Tamandua tetradactyla: one gene and its partner. The protein of the gene in region 1 purifies or fractionates together with the protein of each later gene. This does not show direct contact. Links are inferred from orthologs where the notes say so. Each region holds a gene or a part of one and is shown on either strand. Other genes may lie near its edges.

The links.
Region 2: the proteins of PHLPP2 (region 1) and NHERF2 purify together in Homo sapiens (affinity purification with mass spectrometry; 3 studies listed by BioGRID and IntAct, with this or other methods). This does not show direct contact. The link is inferred for Tamandua tetradactyla from reciprocal best matches to the Homo sapiens genes PHLPP2 and NHERF2.

The regions. Positions count from the first base shown.
Region 1 is NC_135342.1:67,036,378-67,043,693, reverse strand, and holds the start of PHLPP2 (PH domain leucine-rich repeat-containing protein phosphatase 2), read right to left. Parts: upstream 3,075-7,316; 5' UTR 3,054-3,074; coding exon 2,955-3,053; intron 2,478-2,954; exon of another isoform or gene 1,543-2,477; intron 1-1,542. UniProt on the Homo sapiens protein: Protein phosphatase involved in regulation of Akt and PKC signaling.
Region 2 is NC_135349.1:55,495,830-55,503,050, forward strand, and holds the start of NHERF2 (Na(+)/H(+) exchange regulatory cofactor NHE-RF2), read right to left. Parts: upstream 3,048-7,221; coding exon 2,835-3,047; intron 2,612-2,834; exon of another isoform or gene 2,407-2,611; coding exon of another isoform or gene 2,305-2,406; intron 779-2,304; coding exon 578-778; intron 1-577.

The DNA of each region.
Region 1 (7,316 bases):
GGAGAGACCAGAAGACACCACGATGTGCCTCACGATGTGCCTTGCCATGTGAGAGAGGCACCAAGGTCTGCTGGCAGCAGGTCTTCGGGAAGAAAGCATCACCTTGATGGTGCCCTGAATTGGACATTTTTGGTCCTCAAAACTGTAAGATAATAATCCAACTATTTAAGCCAACCGATTTTATGGTATCTGCTTTAAGCAGCCTAGGAAACTAAAACAGCTCATCTCTGAGAACATACATGGTAAAGAATATTTTGGAAAGGGTGGAGAGGGGAAGAATACTTTAGTTCATGGAAATTTTGTTGATAGTAATTGATTTTTTTAAAACCATGTACACATATTATTTTGATAAAAATTTTAAACTGTTATTGAAAAAAATCTCATGGCACCCACTGACTAGATTATTTCTAACTTCATATCTTCTAGAGACTAAGTAAAAACAAATAAACAAATAAAAACATACCATGATCCCAAACTGTAGAAAATATCTGGAATACTTTAAAAGCTATGCTTCAAAGGCTTCAAAGGTACTTCAAATATTTTTAAGAGTATCAAAAATATACTTATATTCCAACTACAAATGTAAAGGGGTATATTCTAAATAGCAATTTGTTGAGTTAATGTAGGGACAGGGTTTTTTTCAACATCACAAAAACTTTATTTCTAGGACATGAGTTATCTTAAGGTTGCAGATTAAAAACAAAATTTGAAGACCTTCTAGACTAATTTTAACAGTCTTCCCTTCATACACTAGTTTCTTAAACATTTTTAATTGTGATATTTACCATACACACACACACACAAAAGCAATAAATTTCAAAGTACATTTTAACAAGTAGTTCTAAAACAGATTTCAACATTTGATATAGGTTACAGTTCCACAATTTCAGGTTTGTTAGGGGCAGGTTTTGAATAAAATTTTCCAATAACCCACAAGATGGATCTAGATTTAGTCTGCCTGGGTTATATTGTCTTAATGACACTATCCTTTTAATGAGAATTATATTATTTAACCATAATGATTGAAGTTCATGGTTTCAGTTTTAGTGTAAAAAAATTACAAGGCTTTTTTTTTTTTCAAAAGGTCTTCAGAGAAGAAAATGAGGGAGATTGACTTTATTTCCAATTAAGGAAATTTTATGTGTACATATTCTCTTCTAGCTTCCCTTGGCACAAAATTCAACCACTCAGCTAATTAAGGGAATTTTTTTTTTAAATGTAAGATAGAGCACCTAATCTCCAGAATGATCCCATTTATTTGCAAAGATTATTTAAAGTGTTTTACTATATGCAATAAAGCAAAGGTATTTAGAGACCGTCAGCCTCCCACTACACTAGCTCAGTACTGCAATTAAGATCAATTTCTGACATACTTCTAATGGTTCCCAGGTTGGAATCGCTGGGAACTGGTGTTAGGCTGTGTTCAATAAAGATAATCATTTCTCATTTACTTCCCTCTCACAATTCAATCACTCTCCACCCCAACCCCTCCCACTCCGTCCCCCCAAAAACTTATTAAAAAAAAAAGCCAAAGTTGTTTACCTTCTAGGCCAGAGGGTAAAGCCTATCTCTCACAGCAGCCATTTCCTGATAAACCAGAGCAGTTGAACTTTTTTAAAACATTGAGTTCATTCACAATTTACATTTCTGTGACTTTACAGTTTTAAATGACTATCCAAAAGCCTTTGGATAATTATATTTGCAATTTATGATAAAATAAATGACAAAATGTAAGAGGTTTATATAGACGTCAAAGTACGAGAAGTTATTTAAGTCACTGTATTAAGATTGGGAGGCAGTGTCAGAATTTTTTTAATATCTTTTACAGAGTTATAGTTTATCTTGTTTCATGAATTCACTAGGTTATTCAACTCTTTTTGTTGCTGTCCCCATTCTGTCCTATTATAATCGTTTTATTTTCTCTCCTCCTTCTCTCTGGCCACATTCTTCTTCTAGAACTCTAGTGTGAATTCCATTCCACTTCCAGAAGGACACTCAGTTTACATATTTGACCTACAGAAATTTTCTATTTCAAAGGCTAATAGAAACTCCACCCAGAGAGCCTCCCACAATCCCTCCCTTTAACCATCTTCACAGTCCCCTCCCCACTCTACATTCCATATGCATTCAAACTTCTTGTCACCGTCAAGGCTCCCCTACACCCTAGCCGCATCTGCTTTCAATTCTTCCCACTCCCCTAATTCCTGCCAAAGCCCCGCTTGCTGCCTGTTGCATAACTGCTCCCCCATTAGCCTCCCAGGATGATTAGCCCCGCTCCCGCAAGCAGAAATGCCCCTTTCTGCCCAACCCCTCCTCCCTTCTGCAGCATGCTCAGCCATTCCCGGCGATTAAGCGCCTCCGGGGATTTTCTCTCCAGGCGGGGCAGGTCATCCTTCCTCGCCAGTGTCTCGCGAGCTGGGAGTGGGGTGGCAACTTCGGTTGTAAGCCCAGAGGGCAGAGGCTGCCCGCTCCACCCCGCGCGGCCCCGGACGCCCCGCCGCTCCCGGCCAATCGCCACCGCCATCCCGCCGCCGGGGTGATGTCTTCAGGTGTCCGAGAGGAAAGCCCTGCGTACTTCCAGCCTCGCGGTCAGCCAGGAGCCCCCGACTGGGCCCCGAGCGAGGCCCGGGTGCGCAGTGGTGGGGCCCGGGATCCTGGAGGCGCCGGGTGGGCGGCGGCGGCCAGGCGGACACCCGCCCGAAGGCGTGGGCCTGCGAGGCGGGTGGCGCGCGGCCAAGGATGGGCAGCGGTGGGGGGCGGAGGCGGCCAGGCCTGGGCGGGGGCGCGGCGCGGAGGCCTCGGAGGAAACCACGGCGCAACCCGTTCGGCTGAGGGGCGGCCGGGCCGCGAAGCTGACTGACTAGAGCACTGCAGGGGGTCACCGCTGCCTCGGCTACCGCGTGGGGCGGGGGGGGGGCTGTCCCCTCCCTCCCCAGCCCGCCAGCCCGCCTCACCTTCAGTACCCGGATCCCTCCCGGCCGGCGGCTCGCTGGCGCTTCGGGCGGCTCCGGGGGCTCCAGCGGGCCCGTGGGGCCCGGCTCCACCTCCCCCATCGGCGGCGGAGGCTGCACAGGGCTCGCCGGCCGGCGCTACGGCGCGCGAGAGCAACCGGCGGTCCCGCCCCCAGGTCGCGGGCCCCGCCCCAGGCCCCGCCCCTCCCGCAGGCCCGCCGGACCTGCGTAGCTGCGGACTCCGCGTGGCCCCCGCGCGGCCCTGGCGCCGGGGAGGCGCATTCCCCAGCCCGCCGAGGGACAGGAGGGCGGAGCTCGGCGACTCCTCAGGGCTGGGCCTCCTCCACAGCCGCGGTCGGCTTGGAACACTGAGGTGCTGGGAGTGTTATTTATTGCTATCCACGCCCCCGAAGTGATAGGAAAAAGGGGCAGGTAGTGCCAGCACCTGCCAGTTGTGACGGGACGCTGCCCTCCGCTGAGAGCGGCTCTTATTACTTACCTAAAACGTACCTTCTGTTTCAAAACTGGCTTGTCACCCTCCTTTGCAAAGTCCTTGAATTAACTATTTACTGACAATACTCACCGTACCAAGACCCTCTGCTTTATTAGAGATGCTACGACCTTCTTCGGTAAATTCGACCCAACCTCACAAAATGTGTCAGCTCACTTCTCATCCATATTAGTAGTTTTGTGTTCCGAATTTGGAGTCAGTCTGATTTGAAATCTCAGCTCTACCACTTATTGGACCTATTCCCTGTGCAAGCTATTTAAACTTCTGGTTCCTTATCTGTGAAACAGAAGTGAATCAGTTGAATAGTTAGGAAAATTTACTGAGTAACACATTCAAAGAGCATAACACTTAGGGATTCATAGCAGCCATTCTAATTCGGAATTTCCAAGACTTCTAGATTTTAGGCCTTCTCTTTACAAAGGTCTTGATGAGTCTTAAAGCAACTCGTAAGGATATTTAACAACAGAAAACCATACTCCATGGAGTTTTGAAAAACTGGTAAAGATGGTGTCATTATTATCCATTGCTTCACCTTTGCTAATCCAGATAATTACCTATTGGAAATATGTAAATATTTCCTTAGTACAAGAAAGGTTCAGGTCTAATTGTGCAGTGTTTTCCTCTCATTGTAGAACTATGTCTATTTGGAGATTTTAAATACAAGGACAAAAGTTGGTTCTTGTCAAGACTCTCAACCTGTACAAATTACTTCTGTGAAAGAAAAAGGATGGTCACTACATTTTCCATTTACCATAAATTACTTTTAACATACCATACCTCAAATTCCACTAATCTTCATTTGCTTTGTATAAGGAGAAAAAGCTCTTAGCTTGTACACCTACCTGGTTTTCCTTCTACTTTGAAATTCCTTTCAAGAAAGCTACTCAAACTAGTCAGATTCCTATTTTAGTGTTGCTTCTTCCAGCAAGAACCCGAGTATGTTAGGGGCAGGCTCCAACATGGAGAAAGAAGTGTATTTGAACAAGGGCACACAGGCAAGCAGTGAGAATAATAAAGATGTGGATCAGAATAAATGGTTCCAAAAGCTTGTTTTTTGAAGTATTACACATTACTTTCTCCGATCTCATGAGCAGAAACTCTTTATTGCTTGACCACTTGAAAGAGAAGGATCTTGTCCCAGGACTAGGGTTTGAATTCATGCTGGGGTATATATAACATTGGTAGATTTTTTTGTTTGTTTAATTAATGGACTAGTGAGTGAAGCATCAATTCAGGATAATGGTGTATGCTAAAAGTTTATGTGTTTACTACCCCATACTGGCAACACAATTAAGACAGTAAGAGAAGTAAAAGAAGCCACCAGCAGAGATTTCAGGGGGTAATTTATGATGCCATTCTCTAAGTTTAAAGATCTCCATGATTTAAGACCTGATTTTTCCAATTCAGAAACTATTTTTCCAATTCAGTAATGACAACCAGTTGTTCTCACCTTATATACTGCCATTAACATTTTATACTTTGTTTCAAAGGTCACATATTCATGCTCTCTCCCAGTTCAAGGCAATGTGCATTATGTATGCCAAGAGTTATGTAACTACAATTTCCAGAAATGGTAAACAGCTGAGACTAACCCTAAAAATAAATTTCTCTGGGATTTTCTTGTGCAAAAATCCATCTGCCCTCACTGCAGGTTCATCATTAACAAAATCAGGTTGAATCAAGCCAAGAGGCAGAACAGTCATTAGAAGCCCTCCTGCCCTGCATCCTTCCCATAGCAGCTGTGCATACCTTCTCTCACAGTTCCTGCAACCCCCCAGCTCAAACACACATGGACTTTATCCCAGGAGCTTTTCCTAATACTCACTGCAAAAAATGGTAGAAAGTCTGGAGAAAGAAATTTCGTGTCTATCAGATTTTGGTAAAGGAGCCATAAGATACTACAATCACTTATTTACATCTAGTTCCCAACTCTTTTGATGACCACAAAGTCAACTTTAGGTCTGAATCCCTTCTTATTCTACCAAAGATTGTATAAGTCTGGATTTATAAAATCCTTATTTCATTTCCAAATAAACAGGCAGTATTCACTTGGCTTCAAGATTTGAACAAACTTTTTCTCTGAATATTTTTATATTTTCAAATATGGGGACAATTGGACTGAGGAAGGAAATAGTGTGGAAAACCCGAAAAGTGATAAAAATGAATTTGGTTCTTTGGTATTAAAGTTCAAATCTTAATACTATTCATTAAGTAAATTTCTAGGCTCTAACTTTTCTGTTGTAGCTTTTATGTTTTCATCTAATTACATCTAAATGAAAGTGCCAACTAAATTTAATATGAACAAAAATGAATTTTAACTAAGCAATATATGAAGATAGATTATAGAAATGTAGCTTATCAAACAGTGCCAAAAGGCAATTCTGCATATACTAGATAACTCCGTAGGCCTACACCTTCCTCTTCTCAAACATTTATTACTCTGATGTTAGGGATCATCAGGGTAATAGAAAACCTGAAGCTAGAGAACCTGAAGCTTCCAACCACTCATTTCTATGGAAAAGTTCTTATAACACAGACGAGCATATACAATTCATTTTGGCTGGTGAGCCCTTTCTCTTCCCAATAACAGATCTCGGAGACCAATTCACAAATAGCAGCTTATAAATGAAACCCCATGACCACCCCTAAAACACATTCCACTTTTTCTTTGCCTAGTTTGAGAATTTACATATGTGAACAAGCATGTAAGCAACCACATTATAGTTAAAATTAAAGACTTTCTCATGGTCTACCACACTAGTTTTTAAGTTGTTAAAATTTCTGAGATCTCTGACTGTAAAAGGACCATTTAACAGGTCAGTAAGTTTAGCTCAAAACTGGATTAAAAATTCATCCAAGGCTTCAAATCCATTTGTAAGAAGCAAGGAAGCAAATTTTAAATCATTGAATATTGACTTTTTATTATTAGTCACTGTTCATAATTTGTTTCAACCAAAAGACAACACACAGCAGAATTCTAATGCATCCCATGTAACTGTTTACATCCATTTTATTCCTCACTCACCTCTAAGACTTATCATTAATTTTTTTTTTACATCTCAAAAATATGTCTGCAATAATTAGAACTTCGTTAGCCATCCCACTTGGAAACAGCCTTTTAATATTTTTACAGTAAAGAAAATATGATGGGGCTTAATGAAAATGCAACTTACAACATTATGAAAGAAAAGGGACTTTACAGGAACACAGTGAGAGTTCACAAAGGAAAGAATTCAGAGGCTCTTTCCCATGAGGCCTCCAAATAGAAAACAAAAACAAAACATACAAAGCGCAACAGCAGGTTCTTTAAAATGGGGGTGGGGGGGGTGGAAAAAACTTCAATGCTCCATCTTGAAGCCAGAATCAGCCTCATGGAAGTTCATGAAGCAACTGTGCAAGATGCTTCAGCGTTTTCCTCTGTTTAAGTGACCCAGGTCCTGGAACTCTGCAGATGGGACCCACTCACTGATATTGCTTGAAAAAAAGACCTATTCACATCCAGTTTTAAGAGCAGCCCCACCCTCCCAAGCCAAAGCTGGTCAAAAGTTTATTAAACTTCAGGTCTTTTTGAGCAACTCTCTCTTCAATGATTCTCCCAATTCCCAAACCCCTAAGTACACAGACATGTACAACTTCTCTCCAAACACAAAGCTCTTGAATATCCTTTTTTGCACTCTAGTTCTCTCAGTTTAGGACACTGAGGTTAAAATACATTCACTAGGGAAATACATAGACATTAAAACTTTGTCTTTCTGTTAGCTCTAATGGCCACAATATTTTCCAATGCAGAAGTTAATGAAGTTGAATCTCAAAAGCAGTATTCCCTAACTTCCAACCTCTTCTAGAGGGACACA
Region 2 (7,221 bases), on another chromosome or scaffold:
TCCAGCCTCAGAGAACTGGAGGTGCCCGCAGGTCCCCGGCCTGGCCTGGGTCAGGCTGTCTGCACAGAGGGAAAGCCCTCCCCCACGCTGGAGGCTTCTGGGGAGGGGAAGAGATGGCGCGTCAAGACCCCACATAGCCGGCCTCGTCCAGCACCCACAAACCCCAAATCTGACACCTCTTCCACCCAGTGAGGCCACCCAGTGACCCCTCTGGCACTGCCCCCACCCCGCGACCCCTCCTCCCCGGTTCTCCTGGCCTGGAAAGTGGTCAGGGAGAAGGGGGAGCTGCTCACAACCCGGGGCGCCAGCAGCCCCGATTCCCGGCCTGAGACCCACTCATCACCCACCCCTCTGGGGCCCCTCCTCGGCTGCCCTGACCACAGCGTGTGCTGACTCCACGGACGCAGGGCTGGCCCTCGCAGTCCCAGGACTTCCAGCAGCTCCGCCCCAGGGGGCCCAGCCACTTGGGACTGAATGAGCTTTGTGGGACAGAGGACCGGGCGTGGGGAGGGACCGGGGGAGGGTGGGAAGAGCAGCCCCAGGGGCCGAGGCGGAGGTGCCCGGCAAGCCCGCCTACCTTCCCGCCTGCCTCGGGGCCCGCGCTGCCCGTGGCCACCCAGTCCGGCTTCGGCTCCCAGGGCTCATGGGGGGGCGGTAGCCCCCGCCGAGCCATCTCCTCCGTGCAGGTGAGCTGCCGCCGGCGCAGCTCCTCGTCCGTCTCCGTGTCCACCACCAGCAGCCGTGTCCGCCCTTCCACGGCCTTGATTCTCTGCACCACCTGGCCCGGGGAATGGGGGGTCAGCTCCGGAGCCCAGGGAGGACGGCACCCCGCCCGGGGCTGGCCGGCAGGGATGGGCGGCTGGACCGAGATGCCTGCCGGGCCCGCCCCCCACCCCCAGCCTCGGTAGCTCCCGCCCTCTTCTCCCAGAGCTCCCGACACCCGGGACTGGTTGCAAGGGCCGGGGATCTGAGCAGGGCTGGCAGTAGCCCAGGGTCCTCTCCAGGAGGGGCCAGGCAGGGGGCTGCAGGGGTGGGTTAGCTGCGTGAGTCGGTCAGTCTGTCTGGGGATGAGGGAGAGGGTGAGGGTCTGAGCTTCAGGTTTTTGGTCTGTGCATGCATGGCCTGGGGCCTGGCGCTCAGGCCGGGTTTCAGGAACAGAGCAGGGTCTCCCCAGGCCCGGTCTAGAGGGATCTTTCTCAGCAGCAGCATGTAGCCCCTAAGCCCCTGCCTCTCCCCATTTCCGTTAGCCACAGACTGGGACCTGGCATCTGCAGAGAAGCAAAGAGCTGGGCTCCTCTGACCAGGTGCCCACGCCCAGCTTGGCAGGGCTCAGACGGCCAGGAGAGAGGGCTTCAGGCCCCAGAGGCAGAGGGGGATGGGGCCGGCCCACCTGTGGAACGGGTACTAATGGTTAGGGCTGCTACGTGAGTCTGTGAGCACCTGTGACGTGCCTGGAGCACGCAGGCAGCTGCGGGCATGCACGTCGGGGTTCACCCGCAAGGAGAGGAAGCCGTGTGGTAGGCGGGACCACGACCCCACCCCACCCCATGGCCTAGGGGCGCCGCCAGGGCCTCCCCATCAGCTGCTGGGCAGACGTCAACAGACGGGAGTAGCTGAGCCAGACCCATCTTTGCCCTGGCTTTTCTCTCTCCCTGTGACCCCAAGACCCCCCACTCCCCTCCTGTGTGACCCTGCGTAGGTCAGCCACATTTCCAAGCATGTGTCCCATCTATCAGGTAGGAACTGTAACTGCCCCTCTCCTCCTGGAGCAGCTGGTTGGGGCACTGTGGTCCTGTGTTTAGCTCTGAGAGGCCAGTGCCCCAGAGGCCCCGGGTAAGCCAACTCTACCTGTCCCTACCCCGGCCCACCAGGTCGAGCCCCCCAGCCCCTGACCCCACACTCCTCCAGCAAACCACCGTATCCAGTTGATGGTCTAGAAGGATACGAGGAGGGCACACAGATGGACAGATGAGGGTCCCTGGGGTGGGAGAAGGAGTTCAGCTCCTGGCCCACCCAGACCTAGCCACGTGGACAGGTCATGACCCTGCAGGGCTGGAGGACCCAGGCCAGCGGGGCAGGCACCCCCCAGGAGTGAGAACCCACTGAGAAGACCCCTGCCCTCCCCCTCTGGCCCGTGCCCTGCAGCTGCAGATAGGGGCTGTGGCCAGCGGAGCTAACGGATGTGCTGCCACAAGCAGCTGACCCAGACCCACTTGGCTGGGGCACACACGGCCAAGTCCCCGGGGCCCAACATGCACACAGCCACACGCAGGGGAGTGCACACACAGTCGGACTCACACTCACCTGGGCATGCAGCGCTGCACACACACACAAACCTGTATACATCCAGGCGTGAAGACTTGTCCACGCGCTTGCACACACATGCGCACGCGCTGGTGAGTCCATGTACACACTAGCCCTGGCTGTGAACACTGTCAGAGATGCATACACACACACAGATGTATGCACACGCGGGTGACCGGCACACTCACACACACACCCAGGGTGTATGCAAACGTAAGAAAGCACGCAGGGTCCCCAAGTGGGGACCCACCAAGACCCCTAGGATGCAGGGCACCCCTACACTGGGCGCCGAGGCCAAAGGCACCTAAGCAGAGAAGGCCCGAGCCGCAGTGCGGCCCCTCCCTGCCAGGCGGCACCCCCAGCCCCCACCCCCGCGCGGCGCAGGGCTGAGCTTCCTGGGGGGTGGGGGAGTCTAGGAAGGAGGCCGGCAGCCCCCACTCCCCACCCCCCATCCCCCCCACCGCTGCCTCCGTGGCGCAGGCCGAGACGCGGGGGTCCCAGGGATGGGGTCCCGGGCGGGGGCCACCCACCTGGTGGTGCGTCTCTCCCTCCACATTGACCCCGTTGACCTCGACCAGGCGGTCCCCGGCGCGCAGCGCGGCCGCCTCTGCGGGGGAGCCGGGCTCCACGCGCCGGATGAACTGCCCGCGGCGGCCCTTCTCGCCGTGCAGGTGGAAGCCGTAGCCCTGCTCGCCGCGCACCAGGCAGCACAGGCGCGGCCGCAGCGGCTCGGGCCCGGCCATGGCGCCGCGGGGCCCCGGCCCACCCCGGCCCACCCCGGCCCACCCCGGCGCGGCGCTCACTACCCGCCCGCCAGGCAGGGGCGCGGGCGCGGGCGCGGACGGCAGCGGCGGCGGCTGATCCCGGCCCGGCGGCGCTCGCGGTGGCTCCGGCTCCGGCTCGGGGCGCCTGGGGCTCCGGCTCGGCTCGGCTCGGTGGCGGCGCCGCCCCCCGCGCCCGCCCCTTCCCGCCTCCTCCGCCCCGCGGCCCCCGCCCCGCGCCCGCAGCCCGCCCGGCCCCTGCCTCCACGGCCCGCCGGCGAGGGGGTGTCTGCGGGGCCGCCCGGACCCCTCTGCCTTGCCCCGGGCTGGGCAGCCTTTGCCTCTGGGTCCAAGCACGTTATGGAGCACCTACTCTTTGCGCGGTTTGGAAGCAGGCTCTTAAAGGGGTGAAAAAAAGGGGCTCCGGGCCTAGGGACCCCACGCAATGCCCACCCCCCTCCAGAAAGCCCTCTCTCCCTCCCTCTCCCCTCCCCTCCCCGACTCGTCCTGCTGTCCGACCCCGTTCCCCTGTCTCTGGGTCCTTCCATTCCCCCACCCAATTGCCCCCGCCCAGCACAGAGTCCCCGGGGGATGCAAGAGGGGCTCAATAGTGATATGGCCAGGGAGGTGACCTGGTGACATCCTGGGCCCCCGGGGAGTGTTGGTGCTATCTGTCTGGGTATAAACATCCCCCCCCCACCCGTTCCGTCCCTTTTCTGGGGCCCCTCACTTTCTCTCACACACACCCCGCCCCAGGTCTTGACTGTGACTCTGCAGTGGCGGCTGGAATGGGGTGGGAGAGGACCCTGCACTTGTCTGGCTGGGACACGGGTGTCTGCGCCATGCTTCCCCCCACCCCCCACCCCCAGCGCTGGCAGTGGCCATAGGAGCCGCTGCACGCTGAGCAGGACGCTGCCGGCCGGCACCCCCACTCCACCCCAGCTCCACCTGCCTCAACAGTCCAGCACCCCTTCCCCCAGGCGTACGGCCACAACCACAGTGATGAATCATTTGTGCTTTGGGGTGCCCCCTGTGGACCACACGCTGTATGCATTTCACCTGGGGCACCCTAAGGGGCCCCGGCCATTTCGCAGATCAGGAAACTGAGCTTGGGAGAAGGAGAGGGAAGAGGCTTAGGCAAGATTCCCAGCTAAAGCTCAGGCAGTCTCTGTAGCAGGGAAACAATCGAGTCACAGGCACGCCCTCTGCCCCCTCGGCCGGCCCCTCCCAGCCCTGCCCGACCCCCTGCACATACTTGGTCCCCCGGAGGCAGGCATGGCCACCACAGCCAGTTCCCCATCAGGGCGGCAGCGGCAGGCTCAGCTCAGACCTGGCAGCTCTCCTCCCTCCAGCACCCCAGGCCTGGCCTCCCAGCCCTCTCCCTCTGGTCAGCCTCCTGGGCCCAGGCCCCCTGGGTGCTCACATCCCAGCAGCTGCCCCTAAAAGCCACTCAGGCTTCAGAGCTGCTCTCTCGCCCCCATCTTTGCAGGTCCCAGAGGATGCCACTGCAGTCGGGCCTGGCTGCGTGCCGTCATGCCACGACTGGGCCTCCCTGGCCCCACCCTGGCCCTGCTGCCCCTGCAGGCTGAGGACGCGGGTGCAGGCAGTCCACGCTCTACCCGAGTGGGGCCTGGGTGTTTGCCCACGGCAACCAGGACCACCCAGGACCTGCCAGGCTGGAGCTGTGGGGTCACACCTGCAGGGGGGAGCTGGCTGCATGGGAGACCCTGAGCCAGGGGGGTGGGAGAGGAAGGGGCCCTGGCCCTCTGAGTCAGGGGGCTTGGAGACTTCTTTCCCCCACCCTCATAGGCTCTCAGATCAGCCCCAGGCCCTTGCTCGCCTGCTGGAGAATAAGTAAAGGTGGTACCAAGGGGAAGGAAGCAGAATAAGTACAGAGGCCCGGGCCACAGAAGTAAGGAAAGGTGCCCCCAAGGTCTGCCGGGCACATGCTCCTCAGGGAGCTTCTGCGAGCCCTGCCAAGGCTCCTGCCAGCTCCCTAGGCCAGTGGTGGGTGGTGACAGAGGCGTGAGTGGCAGAGGCACAGGTAAAGGCAACGAGGCCAAAGGGACAGCATGGCAAAGGCTCAGGAGTTTCCACCCAGCAGTGTCCAGGGCTGTACGCTGCTGGGGGGTGGAGACTGGGGACTGGGCATTGGAAGGGGGCAGTGAGGCAGCAGGGGCAGCGCCTTGGGGCAGGGCTCGGACTGACCCTGGATTTTATTTTCATTTTGTGGCTCTGGGTGTGGCCCGGCCCCCCAGGCCAGCAGCAGGCCACAAGGAGGTCAGGCCAGGGCTGATGAGGAATCCAGGTGACCCCACCCACCCACCTCTGCCAACTGGCTGTGCAGGCCTGCGGCCGGCTGCGCAGGTATGTCGTATGTCAAGACTTTCCGGTCCCTTCCCTCCTCTGGGTCGGGCCTGCATGCTGGGGCAGCCCTCCTCCGCGACGGGGCGGCCGCGGGCAGAGGCCTGGCCACCAACCCACGCAGGACCCTGACCGACGTCGGGGCGGGGGCGACCCAGGGCTTCCCGCTCGGGCGCCTCCTCCCTGACCGCGTCAGTCGCCTCCGCCCTCAGACCGCGCCGGGCCCCGGGCCTCGTTCGGAGCCCGCAAAGGGAGCGACGGGAGCGGGGCGGAGAGCAGAGACCCCGAGGAGAGGCGGGACGCCGGAGTGACGGCGAGGCGGGTGCGGAGGGCGGAGGGAACCCGCGGCCGGGCCCCGCCCCTCGCCCGCAACAGAAACGGCGGGGTGACACCTGCCGGCGGCGGCGAGGATTACATCACCCCGAGCGGCCTCGGACCCCGCCCCTCCGGCTTCCCCCAGGTGGGGGTCCCGGGGCTGAGGCCTGGGCTGAGGCCGGTTCCCTAGGGCTGATGAGGACGCAGGGGCACAGGGGTGCTAAGGACAGGTGGGCAGGAAAGCCGGCCTCCGCTTGGCGCCCACCTGCTCGGTTGCTCCCACCTTGGACCTGACACCCTCTCCCAGCTGGGGGTGCCTCTCCGCCACAGGAAGTCCAGACCCCTCCCCAGGTGGTCCGCCGCTTGCAGCCGAACGCGTGCACGGACCGCTCGTGCGGGGCGCTGGCTGAGCGCAGGGGAGGCTGGCTACCGCGGGCGCAGACACGGCACCTGGACCTGAGCCCAGGGCAGCCCCGAGGGACATCTAACCCCGCCTGGGGACCCAGGGGTCCTGCACCGAGGGAGGCCCTGGGATGTTCTGGGACCTGCCCAGGGTTCCTGCAAGGCATGGGGGCCGGGAAGAACTAAGGAGAGAGAGGGGCCAATGTCTGCCCTGTGGCCAGGCGCCAGAGCAGGGACCCTGTCCCTTAGGCAGTAGGGAGCCCTTGAGGTCTTGTGACACCGTGTTCTGAGGGCACAAGCAGGGGAAGACTGGGGAATGCACAGGCTTGGAGCGGGGAGAATGAGCGGCTGAGGCATCAGTGCAGGACCTTGTGGGGGGCTCTGAGGGAAGGGCTGGGAAGCCTCTGGATAAATAAAATCGGTCGGGGGTGGGGAGCACCCACGTTGAGGGGAGCAGGTAGAGAGAAGGGTGCACTCAGGGGATAAGGAACTGTCCTGGAGGGGAGAGGGAGGCTTCCCGAGGCTGAGGGAGAGTGGGAGCTGTCAGCTAGAGGGAGCTGGATCAGCACCACCACCCCCACGCCCCCGGTCCCTGCAGGCTGCTCTCAAGGGCCCCTGGGGAGACGTCTCCACTGCCGGAAGGCATCAGGGCATGTGCCCCTGAGGTTTAAGGTCTGGACGGAGTGGAGGCAGAGACCAGAGTGAGGAGGGTTGCAGCGGGCAGGGTGGGTGGAGGGGCCTGGTGGAGTAGGAGCAAGGACTGGAAATGCTAGAGGAGGGAAGAGGGGGAGGGTCCCTGAGGGGTCTGCTGAGATGAGGGACCGGCCCCTGGGAGGAGAGCCAAGGTCCCCCTTCCAGTCTGGAGGGGCACACAGGTGGGAGGGAGCCGAAGCCCAGGTCTGATGGGTGCTGGGGAGAGCCGAGGGGTGGAGAAGGGGGTGCACTCTCCGGGCGTTCTCCCCAGCCCAGACCCGAGGCAGGTACCTGTAGGTACCCTTCACCCTCCTGTACACCTCCCAGATGGGGACGGGTCTGCCTCGGCCCCTCCTCGGGGACCCTGGGGCCTGGGCTGGTG